2 linked regions of the Arabidopsis thaliana genome follow. The protein of the gene in region 1 interacts with the protein of each later gene in a pairwise test. Each region holds a gene or a part of one and is shown in the gene's direction. Other genes may lie near its edges. The genes, in order: HSFA3 and OFP13.

The links.
Region 2: the proteins of HSFA3 (region 1) and OFP13 interact in binary tests that used the Arabidopsis thaliana proteins (3 or more experiments, as listed by UniProt).

The regions. Positions count from the first base shown.
Region 1 is NC_003076.8:970,565-976,163, reverse strand, and holds HSFA3 (heat shock transcription factor A3), read left to right. Parts: upstream 1-1,837; 5' UTR 1,838-2,480; coding exon 2,481-2,822; intron 2,823-3,354; coding exon 3,355-4,251; 3' UTR 4,252-4,536; coding exon of another isoform or gene 4,537-4,769; intron 4,770-4,990; 3' UTR 4,991-5,022; downstream 5,023-5,599. Other genes in the region: CTR1 (Protein kinase superfamily protein), read left to right, coding at 9-93, 188-286, 520-588, 692-823, 938-1,032, 1,110-1,206; AT5G03710 (replication factor C large subunit), read right to left, coding at 4,537-4,769, 5,045-5,057. UniProt on the Arabidopsis thaliana protein: Transcriptional activator that specifically binds DNA sequence 5'-AGAAnnTTCT-3' known as heat shock promoter elements (HSE). Involved in heat stress response. Activated by DREB2A under heat stress.
Region 2 is NC_003076.8:1,397,443-1,401,582, forward strand, and holds OFP13 (ovate family protein 13), read left to right. Parts: upstream 1-1,952; 5' UTR 1,953-2,242; coding exon 2,243-3,025; 3' UTR 3,026-3,342; downstream 3,343-4,140. UniProt on the Arabidopsis thaliana protein: Transcriptional repressor that regulates multiple aspects of plant growth and development through the regulation of BEL1-LIKE (BLH) and KNOX TALE (KNAT) homeodomain transcription factors.

The DNA.
Region 1 (5,599 bases):
TCAAACAGAGGTAGTTTATACAGACTTTTGCATAAAAGTGGAGCAAGGGAGCAATTAGATGAGAGACGTCGCCTGAGTATGGCTTATGATGTGGTATGTTTAATTCCTTATGTTACATGTATGGGTGATTACTTCCTGATCTTGGTGTTTCTTCACATGGAACTTTCTTTCCAATTCTCTGTCACAGGCTAAGGGAATGAATTATCTTCACAATCGCAATCCTCCAATTGTGCATAGAGATCTAAAATCTCCAAACTTATTGGTTGACAAAAAATATACAGTCAAGGTTTGAATCTAAATTAGAAATTGTTGTGTCCAATGTTTTGATTTTGATATTTTATTCCTCTTGTGAGACAAGCTTATATATAAATTATGATTTTTAATTCTAAATTGGTTTGGAGACATTACAAAAAGGCGTTAATCTGCTGAAACTTAAAAGATACAGCAGCCTCAAGCTGTCGTCTTAAAAACAATCAGAACATTATTATTCTAACTCCTCAATTTGTCTTGAAATTTCAGGTTTGTGATTTTGGTCTCTCGCGATTGAAGGCCAGCACGTTTCTTTCCTCGAAGTCAGCAGCTGGAACCGTAAGTTCAGTTTGTTTGAAACTAAAACACGCTGAACAACGTAACTTTCTTCTAGGTCCTATTTCCAATGGAAGCTAAATAATTACTGACTTTGATATATCAGCCCGAGTGGATGGCACCAGAAGTCCTGCGAGATGAGCCGTCTAATGAAAAGTCAGATGTGTACAGCTTCGGGGTCATCTTGTGGGAGCTTGCTACATTGCAACAACCATGGGGTAACTTAAATCCGGCTCAGGTACTTTCCACTCTAAACATCTCAAATAATAATGATATTATTTTGCATTTGGAAGTCCCTCACTCTACATTTCATAACATGCTATATATGATCATACAAAAAAATGTTCCATAGGTTGTAGCTGCGGTTGGTTTCAAGTGTAAACGGCTGGAGATCCCGCGTAATCTGAATCCTCAGGTTGCAGCCATAATCGAGGGTTGTTGGACCAAGTACGTTAAGATTTTCTATCTCTTTTTTGAATTCTTCTTGAATAGACTTCATGTTTATGTATGTGTTTCATTACCAGTGAGCCATGGAAGCGTCCATCATTTGCAACTATAATGGACTTGCTAAGACCATTGATCAAATCAGCGGTTCCTCCGCCCAACCGCTCGGATTTGTAAAATACCCCCGGTCCATTCAAAAGTTGTTATAATCATGATATGCACATATACTCTCAGCATTCTTTTGCTGCCCAGGAGGGAGACACTAGTTAAGATATAGCTTTAAAGGTACATTCCTCATGAGCTATCAATCATATCCTACAGAATCCCATGGTTTTTATACATGTATTATTTTTGCGATCTTTGTCTGCTGTTTTGTTCCCTTTTTAATGTTGCAGATTGTTAAAATGTACATGACTATTGTCACAGGGAGGAAAAAAAAATGTAGTAATGGAAACAATGTGAGGGATATAATCTATCTATCTAGTCCCAAAGGGTAAGCAATATTTTGTTGTTATGTCTTTGTAGCAATGCACTGAAAGCTATATTTAATTACATTGCTGTACATTTATACCGCTAAATTAGTTACTAAGCGAAGGTAAAAAAGAGCAGCTGGTAAATGCTGTCAAAGGGTTTTGCAAACTCAATATGATTCATTGGATTTACATTTGTTCACTGTGCGATTAGTCTGGACTATAAACCAACAGAAATGAAATAAGACTGTAACTTTCGGAGACTCTAATACAGATGAATATAATCCCAAATCGTTAAAAACGCATTGGGACTGAAAATATCTAGATACATAGTCAACTATTTTTGCCTTCGCGTCTAAGTAAGTTCCCACACTTGAAAACGACTTTACCTGTCTTCCGAATTAATCGTTTGATGGATCGGTAACCAATAGGATTGCGTAAATCAAAATTATACAATATTAAATTCTGAAAAAGGAAACACGAAAAGCGAATCAGTGATTTGTGAGGGCCCAGTTCCAAATTAGAAAGCTGACCTGGCAAACGCGCTAAATCACTCCTCCTTTCAAAAATCTCAAGATGACGTGGGACCCACCATCGTCACCACTTTCTCTCCTTCACCAAATCACAGAGAGAGAGAGCTAAGTGAAGCTGCAAGGAAACAACTTTCAATTTCAATGTCGGTTGTACAATTATTTGTCACTAAAGTTTCCAAATTTCTTCTAAACTGATGAATCAATGGAACATGATGACGAAAAAGATAAATCCACGGTGGCGGGAACTGACCCACCCATTTCCACCGCCTCTCTATTCCCCAGATTTTTTTCAATTATCTGACTACAGTTTGTCGGTTACTTCCTTCCCTAAACCTTTATAAACCATTAAACCTCTCATCCTTCTTCTCTTAAACCCCCTAATTATCACACACACCCCAATTTCTCACTCTCTCTCTCACTAAAACCCGTAAATTTTCTACTATATCAAATGAGCCCAAAAAAAGATGCTGTTTCTAAACCAACTCCAATTTCAGTACCCGTTTCGAGACGATCCGATATACCCGGGTCTCTCTACGTCGACACTGACATGGGTTTCTCTGGGTCACCACTTCCCATGCCACTAGACATCTTACAAGGGAATCCAATTCCACCTTTTTTATCCAAGACTTTTGATTTGGTTGATGACCCGACTCTTGACCCGGTCATCTCTTGGGGACTGACCGGAGCTAGCTTCGTAGTTTGGGATCCTCTAGAGTTTGCCAGAATCATACTTCCAAGGAATTTCAAACACAACAATTTCTCCAGCTTCGTCAGACAGCTTAACACTTATGTAATCATCTCTCTTGCTCTGTTTCTGTTTTCTAGATAGACTCATTCTTCTTCTTCTTCTTCTTCTTTCAGTTTTGTTTTGTTTTTATGTTTCTGTAATCTTTTTGATGACCAAAACCATTTTGTATAGATTCTTGAAACTCGTTTTTTGATAACTTGTAAAAAATTACCTGTAATTTTCTTTTCTTTTTGGGATTTGTTTAATCTCTCTATCATGTAACACTGAGTTTTGTATCTATGAAATTTTGGCCTCGATTGGATCTTATAATAACTTCTCATCTGAAATAAGCTTGTAATCTTGTATACTTATGGTTTCGTTTGAATGGAGAATTTTGGTTTATGAAGTTTTGTTATTTTCTCACAATGTTAACTTCAGTCTGGTTTAAGACATCATTACTCACATGTTCTTCACACTTCAGAGGTAGAATCTTTCTAATATCTTGAGATATTTGGTCTTGTCTTGATGTAAATGTGTTTACTTACTTTATCTTGAGCTTGTTTGAGTTGTTTTTTTGGGGTTGGAATGTTTCCAGGGATTTCGAAAGATTGATACTGACAAGTGGGAATTCGCTAACGAGGCTTTCCTTAGAGGCAAGAAGCATCTTCTGAAGAACATTCATCGTCGTCGATCACCACAATCCAACCAAACTTGCTGCAGTAGCACTAGCCAAAGCCAAGGGTCACCTACTGAGGTTGGAGGAGAGATTGAGAAGCTGAGGAAAGAGCGGCGTGCATTGATGGAGGAAATGGTTGAGCTTCAGCAGCAAAGCAGAGGCACAGCTCGACATGTGGACACTGTAAACCAGAGGCTGAAAGCTGCAGAGCAACGTCAGAAGCAATTGCTCTCTTTCTTGGCTAAGTTGTTTCAGAACCGGGGTTTCTTGGAACGCCTGAAGAACTTCAAAGGAAAAGAAAAAGGAGGAGCTCTTGGATTGGAAAAGGCGAGAAAGAAGTTCATCAAGCACCACCAGCAGCCTCAAGATTCTCCAACAGGAGGGGAGGTGGTGAAGTATGAAGCTGATGATTGGGAGAGATTGCTAATGTATGACGAAGAGACTGAGAACACCAAGGGTTTAGGAGGGATGACTTCAAGCGATCCAAAAGGCAAGAACTTGATGTATCCATCAGAAGAAGAGATGAGCAAACCAGATTACTTGATGTCCTTCCCATCTCCTGAAGGACTTATTAAACAAGAAGAGACGACATGGAGCATGGGTTTCGATACTACAATACCGAGTTTCAGCAACACCGATGCATGGGGAAACACAATGGACTATAATGATGTCTCAGAGTTTGGTTTTGCTGCAGAAACAACAAGTGATGGTTTGCCTGATGTCTGCTGGGAACAATTTGCTGCAGGAATCACAGAGACTGGATTCAACTGGCCAACTGGTGATGATGATGATAATACGCCAATGAATGATCCTTAGGATCTTTTCATATATAGTTTAGACCAAAAACCCGTTTCTTATCGGGTGAACTATTAATTCATTATTCATTTTGAATGCACTCTTTATACATATATATAATATTGATGAGTTTGATTGTTCCTTTCTTATTCACTTAATCCAGGGTCTAATAACATTGATTATGAAGGATATATAACACAAAATTATGCTTTTATCTGCTTGAGTAATTAAAATTTTTGCAGGTCTGAAGTGGAACAATGTTTCTTTAAAAGGATTTTTCTCTCTGAAGCTGTCTGGTTTAATCATTTATGTCCCAGGTACGAATGCAAAAGCTCTTTCCTCTCTCTCTCTGTCTTCTTCTTCTTCTTCTTCTTCTTCTTCTTCTTCTTCTTCTTCTTCTTCTTCTTCTTCTTCTTCTTCTTCTTCTTCTTCTTCTTCTTCTTCTTCTTCTTCTTCTTCTTCTTCTTCTTCTTCTTCTTCTTCTTCTTCTTCTTCTTCTTCTTCTTCTTCTTCTTCTTCTTCTTCTTCTTCTTCTTCTCCTTTGCTTGTCTGTTGGGGTATGTTTTGTGTCTTGATTGAAGGAATTTGTACCGGTTTATAACAGATTTATAAACTAATTACAAATTCAATAGCCAGTATTCATGTAATCTCGTCTCACGTTTAGCTAACCTGACGATTACACATAGAAGAAACGGTAGGAAACGAAGAAAAATGATGAAACCAAAAGATTTTTTTTAAAAAAAGAAAAACCTAAATGCAGGAAACGAAGCGCAGAGAACGAAGAAGAAGAAGAAGGAAGATAGGAGATTTTTACCCCAGAACTCCATTGTCTTGAGAGGTACTGTGACCTGAAGGAGACGATGCGTCAAAGAAGAAAGTTCTCGAAGAAGATGATAGCGGTTTCGTCTCTCGAGCGCAGTTTTTACTTTTTAGGGCGTGAACTTGCCGTGAAGTGAAGGCTATTAATCGGACCAAGGGATTTTAGGGCATGTCCCTGTCATTTAAATCTATGCAAATCGGTTATATTCATACTTTGAAATTTTACTATCAAAAAGTTGATATGGCCGAGTTGGTCTAAGGCGCCAGATTAAGGTTCTGGTCCGAAAGGGCGTGGGTTCAAATCCCACTGTCAACATTAATTTTTTCTTACTTGGGCTTATTTAGTTTCGGCCCATCGAATATAGATTGTTGCAAGTGAATCTAGCAGGCCATTATAATGAAATTAAAAATTAACAGTGGGCTTTAAATGCCCATTTTGATATAAAATATATGATGACTGCAAAAATATTCGAAATCAGAAAATTAAGACCAAATGAACATATTCAGTGAATAGTCTGTTAGATGCCATATAGTCAAATCTTAAACTTAC
Region 2 (4,140 bases), 430 kb from region 1:
AAATTTAAAAGGATAATATGGCAAAAATGTCGTATTTGAACATAAAATTAAAAAGATGTAGGAACACTGTAGAGTATTCCAAATATTGCATGTTATAAACTTTATTTTTAGACATCTTCATTTGCAAACACGTTACAAGTTGAATAGTCTATCATGAACACTGTAGAGTATTCAAAGTACTGTAAATGAAAAAATGTAATTTATATATAGTCTAATGTATTTAAAAATTTAAACCATAGAGAGGAATATACTGTACTTTTGTAAATTTGGTCCCCTAACTAAAGATCTAGTAGTAGAAGATGGAAATCCACAGTTAATATATGCGTGATTCAACGGTGCCCTCTTTAATTCCTCACATGAGTTTTGCACACAATCTTTCTCTCTCTTTTTCTTATTCTATGTTCCCATATTTATCCCACAAACGTTGATCCAATATCTTACGCAAATTAAGGCAAAACAGGAAATTTTTGCAAAAGAGAAAGATATGGAGGTGTTGGGTAAATAAAGTTGAAAATGTACGAAAATAATGATGCATTTATTTCACAACAATGGGTTTCAACATCAGATTGCTTCTGTTTAAATCTTTTACTACTTTCAGTTTTATATCTCTGATAAACTCTATAATATTGACTGATTCCTAAAGGACACTGTCTCAGGATCTATCCCCTACATTCTTGTTCTACCTTGATGGATCATATATTTTACCTTAGTAAAGAAAATCGTCCAAGAAATTCATCATTAATTAAAAACATACATATAACATAGTCCTTCTTCGAATATAAGACTTCAATTCCTCAAAAAAAATTAAACGAAATAAATTATTTTTAAATATATATTCAAGAAACTGATGTTCATCGAGTTTAATTATTCAGTTGAATTACAATTCTTACTTTTAGAAATTTGTATTGCGACCAAGAAGAAACATTCTTTAAGCTCAAAGCTTCATATAATTTACACATACGTAATTTATAGATAACACGTTGACCGAGAGTATTAGAAGCTCACAGTGCTTATAGGAAAGTCAAAACTGACTGCATCAGTACGATTTTTACGTGTTCGTTTATGGATTATATAATACAAAATAGCTTATACATCAGTTTTAAAAAAATTAAACAAATTAATTAAGATGTAAAACACTATTAAAGTCGTAAAGAGAGAGTAATTAAAAATGAGAAGAAGATTTGACAAGACGAGCCAATAGACAAGAATGTAGTACCGTCAATCAACCTTTATAAAGTAGTAGTAGTATATAAAATTACTAAATGTTTATTGGGATTTGTTTTTCTGCAACATTTTCTTGTAAGCAATCGTTTTTAATGCTTTGTGTTCTGCACAGTGCTTTGTCATTGGCTCGGGACTAACATTTTTTCTAGTATTATTTTATTTTATTTTAATTAAAATATTTAATTTTTCTTGTCTTCAACCAAATTGAATGCTACTGCTGTGTCTTACTATACTTGTTCATGAGTATAATATTATCATCTTAAATTTAGATAACAAAGACAAAATAAAAATTCAAATTCCCATAGAGCCATTATATCGTGTTTGCATGAAACTTTTGTTAGTTAAAAAATACAAATTCAACCTCTCCAACAAGGCAATAACAACCCATGGAGCTAATAATATGTAAACTGCATGAGGATAAGTGTTTTCGTCACACAAGAAGATTGTCAATTTTTCAAAACAGCAAAATATTTGTAAAAAACATAATTCTTCCACTCATGTGTATATCAATAAAATCACAACGACAAAAACATTATTGTAAAATGTAGCAATAAACTATTTGTAAAAATAATATATCTCCATTATAAAAACATTTTTGTAAAATTGATCAATTATTAGATCGAATAGTGTAGAAAAAACCAATATTAAAAATTTGGATTGTAGCAAATCAAATATTGGAAAAAACTATTGAAATCCCGGTTGAACAGAAAACGAATCGAAAAAGCTAACCACAAAGCAAAACAAAAACAAACTATCAACTTCAATCATCGTAATTTTTATAGTTAAGACTTTAGACTAAATAAGTAAAAGCACTTCAAATAACTAACCAGAAAAAAATGGAAAATTAACAACAAATAGAAAAATATCCCAAAATTAAATAGACACATGACCTGACCCCACCAGCTCTCTCTTCTCTCCCCATATATCGCATTCCCTCCAACTCCTTCCTCTTCCATTAATTACTAAACCCAAACCCAACCAAAGATCTTCACAAAGAAAAAAACAATTGGTGGTATCAATGGGGAAGAAGAAGATGAAACTCTCTTCTCTGTTCAAAGGCGGAGCCGGAGGATTACTAGCGGTTCCTCTCTGTTACAATGCCAAAACTCTTTCGTTCCGAGTCGGCGACGACATGATCAAGACGGTGAACTCTGTTTTCTTCGACCACCACCACAACAACAACAATGGAGGAGATTTGTTGGAAGCGGAGACGCCTGAGTCATGGTTTACTAACTCGTCCGAGACAGCGAGTCACTCAACCGAGTCGGATCAAGACCTTGACGCTGAGTCCTTAGAGATGGTGGTTCGTGGCGTTGTTAGATCGGAGCGGTTATTCTTCGATCCAGGAGTTACGAGTTCGATTCTGGAAGAGATTGAAGAGAAATCGAAATCGGATTTGAAATCGAAGGAAACGGTTGCGGTGGGAGAAGATCGGAGTACGCCGATTGAGGAGATTAGTGTCGCGGTGGCGATGGAATCCGAGGATCCGTACGGTGATTTCCGGCGATCGATGGAGGAGATGGTGACGAGTCACGGTGAGTTGGCTAAAGATTGGGAGAGCTTGGAATCGATGCTCGCTTGGTATTTGAGGATGAATGGGAGGAAGAGTCACGGCGTTATCGTCAGTGCTTTTGTTGATCTTCTCTCTGGACTCTCTGATTCCGGCGCCGGAATAACGTCGGCTTCGGTATCGGATTCGGCTCGTTATTCAACCGCCGTTTCGTCTTTGCCGTCGTCGCCGGTTTATTCGTTATCTCAAGGTCAGACGGAGATTCAAGAGGAAGAGAGACGGAGCTGTTAAAAATAAAAAAAGGCTTAAGATTCGGTTTTAAATTTTTTAATCTCCGGTTTTGTTTAGATTAATTAACCCTTTTTGGATTTTGTAAAAAGTAATTAGTGGTTAGAGGAAAAAGAACCATTAAATATATATCAAAAATATTTTTAGAGCCATTATTGTTGATTTATGTGTATAACAGTGCCTTTTGTCATAACTCGAAAGTTACACTATTTTTCCCCCAAAATTCATGAAACTCAGCGAAGTTTATGCCAACAGATTCAGAGAAATTTTGTATAACAGCCCCATTTTAAAAGGAAATATACATAAGAATAAATTCTGTGATACTTCTTTTTATTTAAGCTCTTTATTTTTTACTTCTTTTTTAGGTTTTAAAGGACATAGAATTATAATTTCTCATTTTTTTTGCAGGCATATTATATAGCCTTTCTCATTAGATGTAGGCATGTAGCTCCTTTGGCATCCATATTAAAAATTTTTTTGTCACAAATATTGGACCTTACATTTTTTTTCCCCAAATAAAATTTGGTATTACGAATTTTCGATGGTTACACAAGGACTACTACACTAACATAAACTGTAAGACTCATTAAATATCATGCTCGGATAATTCATGTATTAACATTAATAACATAGAGATTTTATTTATTGATTTGACTCTTAAAAGCATCATCACGTAAGATATTTAGCAAAACCCTTTTTGTGATATCCATGCTGGAGTTAAAATCTTGAAAATAAGCGTAATAGAAACACCCGTAGTGTATGTATAAATGTAATTGTCATGAACTTATGAGATTCAAGTTTTAAAAATACAGAAAAGGATAGTGTATTTACGAGGGTGCATTAAAAGAGAATGTTGGTCTATAGTAACGTTTGAATTGAAATGTTACAAAAGAGATTTGTAATTTGTATTTTGTATTGTGAAGTGAATGGAGTAACATGAGATGAGCAATGGTGCTGTGGTCAGTGGTCACACACACACAGGCCCTGTGAATCCCAACATCATAGACCTACTCACTTCTCTCTTATCTCTTTTCATTTATTACTCTACATTTAATTTTGGGACCAACCTAGACGACGACGTTTATTTGTTTTTGTTTTGTTTGTTTTGTTTTGTTTCC